3 linked regions of the Rattus norvegicus genome follow. The protein of the gene in region 2 interacts with the protein of the main gene of each other region in a pairwise test. Links are inferred from orthologs where the notes say so. Each region holds a gene or a part of one and is shown on either strand. Other genes may lie near its edges. The genes, in order: Batf2, Dazap2 and Bag3.

Region 1 (3,054 bases), on a different chromosome or scaffold from region 2:
GAGACCAGGGAAGTCACCATGGTGGGGGAGGGGCCGTAGAAACAGAAAGTGTACTCACAGAGAGGAGAGAGAAGGAAGGAGGGAGGAGACCAAATATCTGGATTATTTAGGGAAGAGGCTCTAGGGGGAAGGGCAGCCTAGCCCCTGGGCTGGAAAGTTCAGGGCAGGCAGTGCCTGGTAGGGCCTGAGGCCTGGGAGAACCGGGAGGCCAGGTCTACTTTGATAGGTAAGAACCCTTGCTACTGAAAGTGATCTCAATCCGGAGGTTTCTACCCTGCGTTTGACCATTCAGTTTCTGGATAAAAGACACAAAACCTTTACATTTATAATAAACCTTAAGGAGCGTAGAGCTGGGCAGATATCTTCCCTCTAGGGTATTTCGTCTAATTTCCTAGCAATAAACCAGAGTTACATGTTGCTGTGTTCCACCTGGGCTGCTATTAATGCCAATTGGCCAGACATCATGGTCATGTTTTGGAATTTCTTACCCCATGGTGTCTTCTGCTCTCTCCACCTTCTCTCTCTCCTCCTTGTGGTCCTCAGAGCCCAAGCCCCGAACACCAAACCCTGCCTGTCTCAATTCTGTCCAGCTACAGGCTGTAGCATCTTTATTCACCAATCAGGGATAACTTGGGGGACAAGGTCACATAGCCTCACTTGGGTCTTGTCCCTGGAGGCACCCAAGGTGGGTGGGGAGTTAGGGGCAGAATTTAGCATCACAATACACAGCAAAAGATCAAAGCTCAGCCTCTCGGGTTTTGCAAGCCCTCCCATCATGCTTTGCAGCTTTGATCTCTAATACCATCTTAAAAAGGCTGGGTGTGTCATTAGAGGCAGAGATAAGCACATCCCAGGAGCTTGCTGGCTAAAACGTCCAGCTTCAGGGTTCTGGAGAGATCCAGACTCAAAGGAATATGAGGCAGAGAGCAAGAGAGGAAGATACCCAGTGTCTTCCTGTTACCTCCTTATTTGTTTATAGTGGCCCCTCCCCAACCAAAGATACAGTCCAAATCCATCAAACAAGGATACTGTGACTGAATGGGCCAATGAAGTGTTGGGTTAGGGATAGGGCAATTCGAAGCCAGGTTGAGATCCCTGGTGAGAAATGGTGCTTCCCAGAAGAGCCATACTGGGCTTTTGTGGCAAGGTCACAGCTCAGTGGGGATGTGGGGTAGAGTACCACAGCCAAGAGCTTCTATCTGGATATTTGTATCCTACAGCAGTGAGAACCCCAGATAGGGTGGTCCTGATGCTGACATCCCTCCCTGCCACCCGTTTCTCCTCCAGCAGCACGAGTCCTTGGAGAAACAAAACCACGCCCTTCGGAAGGAGATCCAGGCCTTGCAGTCTGAGCTGGCAAGATGGGGCCGGACACTGCATCTGCATGAACGACTGTGCGGAGTGGGCTGTGGTCCATGCCCTGCTCTGCTGCCCTCTGGATGCCCAGTCCAGGCCAAGCAACTCTCAGGACAACCTGCCCCTCATGGATACCATGGCTGCCAGGAACAACTGTTCCAGACTCCTGGCTCCTCTCCCCGAGCCCAGCAGCTCTCTCCAGGCCCATGCTATCATGAGTCTCCTGGCCTCCTCCCTTTCCCCCTGCCCTCACTGTCCTCGGACCCTCTCATGGTGAGGACACCTCTAGCCCAGCTATCCCCCAGCCCTGCCCTGTCTGCATTATCATCTGGTTCCAGCCGGCTGGGGTCTTTCTCTAAGTTTGATGCCCTCATACCCAGTCCCCCAGACCAGCTGGTCTCTCCACAGCGCCTCAGGCTGGAGCAGCCCACCAGTGGGAGGCTGGCATCCTCCGACTCTCCAGCTGCTCTAGGACCAGAGCGTCCACAGAACGGAGAGCATTTGCCTACACAGTCTGGCTCCCCGACTCATTGGCAGAAGTCACCTGTGGACCCTAGCCCACAAGCCCTCACAGCCTTCCCCCTGCTCTCTTCTGCAAAAGTCCACTTCTAGCCTATGTCTAGAGAGGGGCTGCCTTACCTGGGTTCCTGAGGTAGCCTGAGCACCCAAGCAGCTCCTCCATTTCCATTCTTCCTGAGTTACTACTGAGTGCCTGCCTACCACTGTGGACCACACAAAGCCATCCTGCCCCTCACCACCACAAAGGATGATGGGAGGACCAAGTGCAAGAACCTTGAACCTGACTGGAGCACGGTCTGTGTCCTTGGCAGCATTCCCAACTCTGCACAGTACCTGTACACTACCGTCGGGCTCTCCCAAAATGGCTCCTTCATGTCTCTTGGGACTACTGGGGCCATGACAGCTAGGAGAGTAAGTAAGATCTCTGAAAGGGTGGTCATTCACAGCAGCCCCAAGTGCCTTGAGCTCTTCACCAGGTTTTCACACATGGAACTGAGTGAGACGGTGTGTCAGAAGTGGACCCACTCCTGCATCAGAGCACACATCTCGGCACATAGGATGGTAAATACAGTTTTCCCCACCTCTTTGCTTTGCCAGGTTGTTGGAGACTGGTTACACTCTTGGCTTAAAAAATATGTATATATATATATATATATATATATATGTACAAACGAACGAACTGAGCGTAGTGGTGCGCTTCTTCAATCCCAGCACTCAGGAGACAGAGGCAGAGGCATCTCTGTGAGTTCCAGGACTGCCTCATCCACATCACTCCATGCCAGCCAGGGTGGTATGGAGAGACTCTGTCTCAAAAAACAAAAAGCCAACAAAATTATGTGTATGAATGGTTTTGCCTGTGTGTGTGTGTGTGTGTGTGTGTGTGTGTGTGTGTGTGCGTGCGTGCGCGCGCGCGCGCGCGCACGCACCGCATGCATACTTGGTCAGAAAAGGTCATCAGATCTCCTGGGAATAGAGTTACAAATGGTTTGAGCCACCAGGTGGGTGCTCAGAATTGAACCTAGGTCCTCTGCAAGAGCAAGTGGTGTTAGCCCTGAGACAATTCCCAGGCGCATACACTCTTAACTGGTAAAACCATGGGGTCTTCAAAAACAAAGAGTAGGCTGGGTGATTGCTCAGTGGATAAACTGCCTTCCCTGCAAGCCTCCAATTGGTGTTTGA
Region 2 (3,751 bases):
ATGCTCAGATAAGCCCGCTTGCCTCTCGGGCTGCTGTGTGGGACTGGATGAAACTGCATTTACAGGACGCCTTGCAAACTGTGATAGTCACCTGACACACAAGCAAGGCCTTCTTGGTGTTGGACGAATCCAGAATCCGTTCACCGAGGGCCTCTCGCTCCAGAGCCTCTCCGTCTCCTTGAGCGCGCACAACACAACTTCTGCAGACAGCTGCGTCGGTTCCTCACTCTGTGCGTGCCCATGAGGAAACGGGAAAAGTGTAATCACGGTCCTAAGAGACGTCGCCTCTACCCTTCAGGACAACTGGGAGTGGGCTAAGGCACACACAACGTCTGTAGGAGACTACAGGCCCCCTTAGGACGTGCCAGGCCAGGGTCAGCCTGCGCGGGGCACGGTCCATCTCAGGGCAGGAGCTTGATGCGGTGTCATGGTTTGTATCAGGGCGCCAAGCAGGGCGCGGGGACACGGTCTACCTCCGCACGGATCCGGGCGCGGGGGCAAGGTCACCGACCCCGGGCGCTGGACCGTCAATAGGAGGCCTGGAAGAACCGGAACGCGGGACAGGCTAGGATCTGAGGTCCAGAGGTGGCTCAGAGCAAGGGCGCCGCCCTAAGACAAGCCCTCTACGAACTTCAGGGCCCGGTGTGAGGGGTGGGCGGGGCACTGGTGAAGGCGGGGCATGCGGGGAGGAAGGGCTCGCGGTGAGGAGGAGGTGCGCGGTGAGGGCGGGGCCACGCAGGGAGGGCAAGGAGGGCGGGGCTACACGATGAGGGCGGGGAGCGCGGTCAGGGCGGGGCCACGCAGGTATGAGGGGCACGGGGTGAGGTGGGGCCGCGCAGGGAGAGCGGGGACCCCGGGGAGCGTGGGGAGGGCGGAGTCACGCAGGAATGAGGAGCTTGGGGTGAGGGCGGGACCACTCAGGGAGGGCGGAGTCACGCAGGGAGGGCGGGGCATGCGGTGAGGGAGGGGAGCGCGGTTTGGGCGGGGCCGCGCGGGAGAGCGGTGTGGGCGAGGAGGGCGGGGCCACGCAGAGGATAGCGGGCACCGGGTGAGGCGAGGCCGCGCAGGAAGAGCGGGGAACCCGGGGAGCGCGAGGAGGGCGGAGCCACGCAGGAAGGGCAGGGCATGAGTTGAGCCTAAAGCGCGAGGTGAGGGGGAAACCGCGCAGGGAGGGCGGGGCCGCGCGGGAAGGAGCTGCGCGAGGTGAGAGCAGAGCGCGCAGGGAGGGCGGGGCACCCGAGAAAGGCGGGGCTGTAAGCGCCCTCCTTGCAGCGACTGGCGGGCCTGCGAGGGGGCGGGGTTTCCGGCGGCAGTGCACTCGGGCATCGACTGACGCAGAGTGGACGGGCGTCACGTGACACGGAAGTGACTCCGAACAGGAAGAGGACGAGAAAAATAACCGTCCGCGACGCCGAGTGGAAGTGGATTAGAGCCACCATGAACAGCAAAGGCAAGGCCGGGAAGCGGCGGAGGTCGTCGGGGACGCGGGCGGGTTCGGGTCGAGTGGGCCCGGGGGCGGCGGGCTCGGGGCGGTCAGGGCCGCTCTCCTCAGCAGGCCGCGGAGCGGGGCCGCACCTGACGTGTCCGCCCCCCCTCCCCCACACACCGCAGCAACTCGGCTCTCCGGGCCCCGGCCCCATAAACTCTGTGGCGCAGTTTGGAGCCGCGGGCTCCAGTGTGTGAGGTGGGGGTGTTTTTCCGTGACTGACACCGGCTGGAGCGAATGGGGAGCTAGAGCAGGGATTTGGGTAGGCCAATGGAGGACCGGCAGAGGCGGGGCGCCGCGCTTCGGAACAACAGGCCTTGGCCGAGCTTAACTCGTGAGGTGCCGGCTCTGCTGCCCAGTCCCGGCCTTCAAGGATCCTTTCCCGCCTGCCTTCGACTTTTCGCGCTCCCTCCTCAGGGCCAGGATTTATAGTCGTGCCTGTGCTAATGTTTGTCAGACCATGGTCGCGTTTACCTCCCGCCCCCAGCCGCCGCCCTTCTCATGGTTAACTTCCATTCACTCACTCTTTGGAAGTCGACCTTGAGTAGGAACCAACCCGTGAGGTAACACGCAGAACCGTGGGTTCCACAGAGTCTGCACTGGTTACCGCACAGTCCGTGGGAGACTACCCGGACTAGAAGTCCCCCCAAAACACCAGCAATCCAGAATCCCCGGCACGGGTTCTCAGACCTGTCCTTTATTTGGGAGGGAACGGGGCCAAGTTACACTTGATTCCTCCATCAGTATGCTAGTGGGAACAGCGCCTTCTGCCCAGTCAGAACCCAGCACCTTCCACTGTGAGGGTGCAGAGACAATCTTTTATTTTCTTGGCTCTAAGAGCTAAGGCCCTGTGGGGCAATCTGTTTGCAATTCTTCTGCTTGAGCTCACCAAGTTAACTGCCCGTTTTACAAATTTTTTTTATTGTCTGTGAATGTGAGGGTAGGTGCCCACAAAGACAGAAGCTAGAGTTGAAAAGAGGTTGTGTCAGATGTGGATGCTGGGAACAGAACTTGGGTCCTCAGGAAGAGTGGCATTTTGTCAGGAGCATCTTTCCTATTTGCCACCTCCCTAATTTGATAGACAACATCTCTCTTCCCCTTTTGTATTCCAGGTCAATATCCAACACAGCCTACCTACCCTGTGCAGCCTCCTGGGAATCCAGTATATCCTCAGACCTTACATCTTCCTCAGGCTCCACCCTATACTGATGCTCCACCTGCATACTCAGAGGTACTGCACTTTGCTAGACTTTTAACTATTTGAATACACTCTTGGACCCCTCCCCCATTGTTAAATCTTCAAATTCAGAAGCAGAGAATGCTCTATGAACCGTCTAAAACATAAGTTAATAATTACCATTGGAATTGAACGCATTATCTGCTTGTTATTTGACATGCTGAGTTAGGCTGAGTTTGGGTCCCTTGAGCCCAGTAGTAGCTGTGGATGCAAATGACCCAGAAACTGTGTGCCAGTGACAGTAACCAGTGTGATCCACACACACAAGAACTGAGAATGGACTCATGAGCCATGCGTGGTGGTAAGACCAGTAGTCTCAGCACACGGAAGGCTCAGGCAGGAGGAGCTTGAGGTCAAGACTGTCTTGGGCTATAGAACCAAACCCCATTTCCAAAACAAAACAAGGGGCTGGGGATGTAGTTGATTTGGTAGAGTGCTTGCTTAGCATGCACCAAGCCCTGGATTTGGTCTCCAGCCCAATGTGAGCTGGATTTGGTGGTGCAGGCTTTTATTTCCATCAGTCAAGAGGTCAAGGCAGGAGAGTCAGGAGTTGAAGGTCATCCACTCCTACATTCTTGCAGGCTAGCCTGAAGTACAGGAGATGGTCTCAGCAATACTTAGAGGAATTTCAAATACCAGTGTCACAGAAATATTTTGCCTTCTCTTCTGCTTCTTTTAGCTCTATCGTCCAAGCTTTGTTCATCCAGGGGCTGCCACAGTCCCCACCATGTCAGCTGCATTTCCTGGCGCCTCGTTGTATCTGCCTATGGCCCAGTCTGTGGCTGTTGGGCCTTTAGGCTCCACGATCCCCATGGCTTATTACCCAGTTGGTCCCATCTATCCACCTGGCTCGGCAGTGCTGGTGGAAGGAGGGTACGATGCAGGTGCCAGATTTGGAGCTGGTGCCACCACTGGCAGCATTCCTGTGAGTATGCCTAACCAAGAGCTCAGCCCTCGTGCACTTGAACCGTCTGAAATGACTTCATACTCATTCTCCTACCATCCCAGGGTAGTAGTAGTCAGGACTG
Region 3 (3,651 bases), on a different chromosome or scaffold from region 2:
AGGAGATCAGAAATTTGAGGTCAGCCTGGGCTACATGTGAGACCCTGTCACAAACAGCCTCCCCATGGTTCTACAGGGTGCTTGTGGCCTGTTTTGTTTTATGGAAAAGGAAATGAAGGTTTATAGGGGTAAGGGATTATCCATGCCCACTGTTAATTAATGGTAGTAGAAATAAGCTTGGGTCCTCTGGGTTAGCCTCCCCTGAGGGACAGTCCCCCATATTCCTTGTACCTCAGCCACCCCCGCTTTTCAGGTGTTTCCTGTTTGTCCCAGGCATTGACTTGTCTAGTTTTTGAACAGGGTCTCATGAAGTCCAGGCTGACCTCAAACTCAGTATGTAGCTGGAGATAACCTTGAACTTGTGATCCTCCGGCTGCTACGTACTAAGTGCTGGGATGTACATGTGCACCACTGTGTCTGGTTTCATACGATAGTTGGAGTTGGACCCAGGATGTCCTTGCATGCTAGGTGCGCAGTCTACCAAGTGAGCTACGTCCCCACCCCTTACCTTGTCTTATAAACTCCTTATTTGCAAGGCTCATATCTTGTTGGTTTGATGACCCCTGGGCCTGTCTGAGTAGTAGCTTGATGTTCGCCGGGAACTGTAGGTGAGGCTAGCTCAGACCTACTAAGTGCCCAGCTCTGAAGAGTAGGTAGTGGCTGAGGCTTTGTTCATAGCCAGAACAAACAGCAAACTCCAGGCAGTTCCCCCAAAACATATGACAGCACTGTGCAAAATCTGATTTCAACTGGAAAGAAGGGCCCTGTCCCCAAGTGTAGGCACATTGCGTAGAACATATGTTATGACAGGATTCTTTGTTGTCTCCTGCCATTTCCCTATGGTGCACGTCTCATGGCTAGAACTGGGTTTCTTTTCTCTGTGTGAGGCCTGGATCCACTCCCAGCTCTTGGGTGACCTGAGAGTTGAGCAAGCTAAAATAATGCTGATGTCCTGAGCACGTGGACATTCTAATCTGAGAGTACCAAGTGCCTGTCTGCCCCTCTCCCCAAGGACACAGTGACACCCTTGCCTTTCCTGTGTTTTGGAGGCCCTCCAGGGGTGAGGTCTCAGCAGGAGGTAGGCAGCACATAAGCCTGAAAGGGTTGCATTGCAGGGCCAGCCACCTGGTGTCCAGACCTATACATAAATATAAAACATGGCAGAATTAATGATTATTTTCACTCAAAATGCAAACCAACTCTCAGGGTCTGTCCTTAACCTTTGCCCAGTTCAGCAGCTGGAGAAATTAACACTCTGGACTCACAGATTCCCAGCTTTTGACATTTGTTTGCCATTTGGAGAGCTACCTCACTAAAGAAGGCTTACTCTCCTAAACACCAGCCTAGTCAGATATCCCCTCGTCTGTGAGAGGACTCCTGTTCAGGAGACAGTTGGAGGCTGAGTGCACAGCCTCTGGTTGGAGAGATATGTCATTGCCCAGTGAATGGCTGACTGGCCTCGGTGTCTGAAATAAGATCTGCCCAGAGGTACATCTGGAACTTGGCCTTCTCAAGGGTCCCAAAATAGCCAGGCCTCTAAAGGAACAACTTCATGAGAGGACACAAGAAGGACCCCCCAACTGTTCTTGGCCTAAACAGGGTTTATTGTATTGAAGGGGGAGAGGCTCTGTGACTCTTCCTTCGAGTCAAGGAAAAGTTTACTGGAACCACTGAGACAGAATACTGCTGCTAGTGTAAGGAGAGGAGCTCAGCTCCCTGTTGAGCACAGACAAAGCACAGTGTGGGACGTGTGGATAGTATTTAAAGGGAAAAACTGATCAAAGGCAAAAGGGGTTCTAACCAAGCTAACCTAACGGGATTCTGACAAGCCAAGGGCGGTGGACAGACATCTGGGGAGGATGGGAGGTGGATAGAGCTGGGGTGTCCATGATGGTGGGCTTGGAATAAGGGGTTCTGGTTGACTTGATTTAGCTGCTCTTTTGCAATAGCTGGATTTTACAAGGAAACACACAGATGGGCCTAGGAGAAAGCCCAGTAGCCTTGCTGTAAAGTTTAGCCAGGCGGAGACTCTTAGGAGTTGGCCGTCTAAGACTGGCACGCGTAATCCCTGGGCTTTGTTCTCTTCTTACACCACTTCTGCATTCCAGGGTATCTCCCTTTCTTGCAGCTTGTTCTAAAAATAATTCCAAGGAGCTAGCCTCTGAAACACACACACACACACACACACACACACACACACACACACACACACACAGAGAGAGAGAGAGAGAGAGAGAGAGAGAGAGAGAGAGAAGAGAGAGAGCACAACACAGAGAACAGAGCACCCAGAAAGCACATACAACACACAAAACAGGGCACAGACAACACACACAGCACACACATAGCACATAAATGACACACACACACAAAGCACATACAACACACAAAACAGGGCACAGACAACACACACAGCACACACATAGCACATAAATGACACACACACACAAAGCACATACAACACACAAAACAGGGCACAGACAACACACACAGAGCATACACAACACAGAACAGAGCACTCAAACACACACAACACAGCACAGACAGCTACAGCGTGCGTGCGCACACATGCTCGCGCCGCACTCACACACACACACACACACACACACACACACACACACACACACACACACAGAGCACATAGAACACACAGAACGGAGCACAGACAACACACACACAGCACACAAACACACATGCTTTTCCAGAAGGAAGTTTGCTGCTGACGTTTAGTAACTGGAGTTGAGTCTTCCAGGGATCACTGGCTTCAGTCTCTGAAGATGTGCAGGGGCCATTGGCCACTGTCTGCTGTCTACACTGCCGTCAACCAGAAAAAAGAAACACCTGTCTCACCACTGTGGGAAGCAAACCTCTCTTGTACTTCAAACTGATACTTTGACTTCTTGGTGTGCCCGGCGACAGGTTTTATTATATAACCCTGACCAGCCAGCCTGGAACTCACTTTGTAGACCAGAACGGCCTCAGAGTCACAGAAACCCACCCGCTTCTACTTCTCAGTCCTGGGATTAAAGGCATGACCACCATTCCCTGTCCCCCTAAATCTTAAAGTGTCGCTCACACAGTAGACTGGAAATCTGGAGAAAGCAGAGACAGTGAAGAGTTCTGGTCCCCTGTGCTCAGCTAGCTTGGTTGAACTGTGAGGCCCAAGTCATTCAGGAAGATCAGAGCCCCTCAGCACCACCCTCCTTCTCAGCCCTGTTTTTAACCAGTCTTTGTTTCTCCTTCCTTCACGTTAGGAAACTGCATCATCTGCCAACGGCCCTTCCCGTGATGGCTCCAGGCTGCTGCCCGCTAGGGAAGGCCACCCCATATACCCCCAGCTCCGACCAGGTTACATTCCCATTCCCGTCCACCATGAAGGCTCGGAAAACCGGCAGCCGCACCTTTTCCATGCCTACTCCCAGCCTGGGGTGCAGCGATTTCGAACCGAGGCAGCAGCCGCCGCCCCGCAGAGGTCCCAGTCTCCTTTGCGTGGGGGCGTGACAGAAACCACTCAGACAGATAAACAGTGTGGACAGGTGCCGGCAGCTGCAACAGCCCAGCCCCCGACTGCCCACGGACCTGAGGTAAGAGACCCAGTTCATGCTGGGCCAGAAACCGACCTGGTAGTACACGGGGTTCACGGCCTGCAGCCTC

The links.
Region 1: the proteins of Dazap2 (region 2) and Batf2 interact in binary tests that used the Homo sapiens proteins (3 or more experiments, as listed by UniProt). The two-hybrid records come from large-scale screens. The link is inferred for Rattus norvegicus from reciprocal best matches to the Homo sapiens genes DAZAP2 and BATF2.
Region 3: the proteins of Dazap2 (region 2) and Bag3 interact in binary tests that used the Homo sapiens proteins (3 or more experiments, as listed by UniProt). The two-hybrid records come from large-scale screens. The link is inferred for Rattus norvegicus from reciprocal best matches to the Homo sapiens genes DAZAP2 and BAG3.

The regions. Positions count from the first base shown.
Region 1 is NC_086019.1:212,903,190-212,906,243, forward strand, and holds the end of Batf2 (basic leucine zipper transcriptional factor ATF-like 2), read left to right. Parts: intron 1-1,287; coding exon 1,288-1,968; 3' UTR 1,969-2,461; downstream 2,462-3,054.
Region 2 is NC_086025.1:133,592,499-133,596,249, forward strand, and holds the start of Dazap2 (DAZ-associated protein 2), read left to right. Parts: upstream 1-1,038; 5' UTR 1,039-1,148; intron 1,149-1,203; exon of another isoform or gene 1,204-1,272; 5' UTR 1,273-1,437; coding exon 1,438-1,450; intron 1,451-2,598; coding exon 2,599-2,717; intron 2,718-3,402; coding exon 3,403-3,648; intron 3,649-3,751. UniProt on the Homo sapiens protein: In unstressed cells, promotes SIAH1-mediated polyubiquitination and degradation of the serine/threonine-protein kinase HIPK2, probably by acting as a loading factor that potentiates complex formation between HIPK2 and ubiquitin ligase SIAH1.
Region 3 is NC_086019.1:192,546,930-192,550,580, forward strand, and holds part of Bag3 (BAG family molecular chaperone regulator 3), read left to right. Parts: intron 1-3,251; coding exon 3,252-3,581; intron 3,582-3,651. UniProt on the Homo sapiens protein: Co-chaperone and adapter protein that connects different classes of molecular chaperones including heat shock proteins 70 (HSP70s), e.g. HSPA1A/HSP70 or HSPA8/HSC70, and small heat shock proteins (sHSPs), e.g. HSPB8.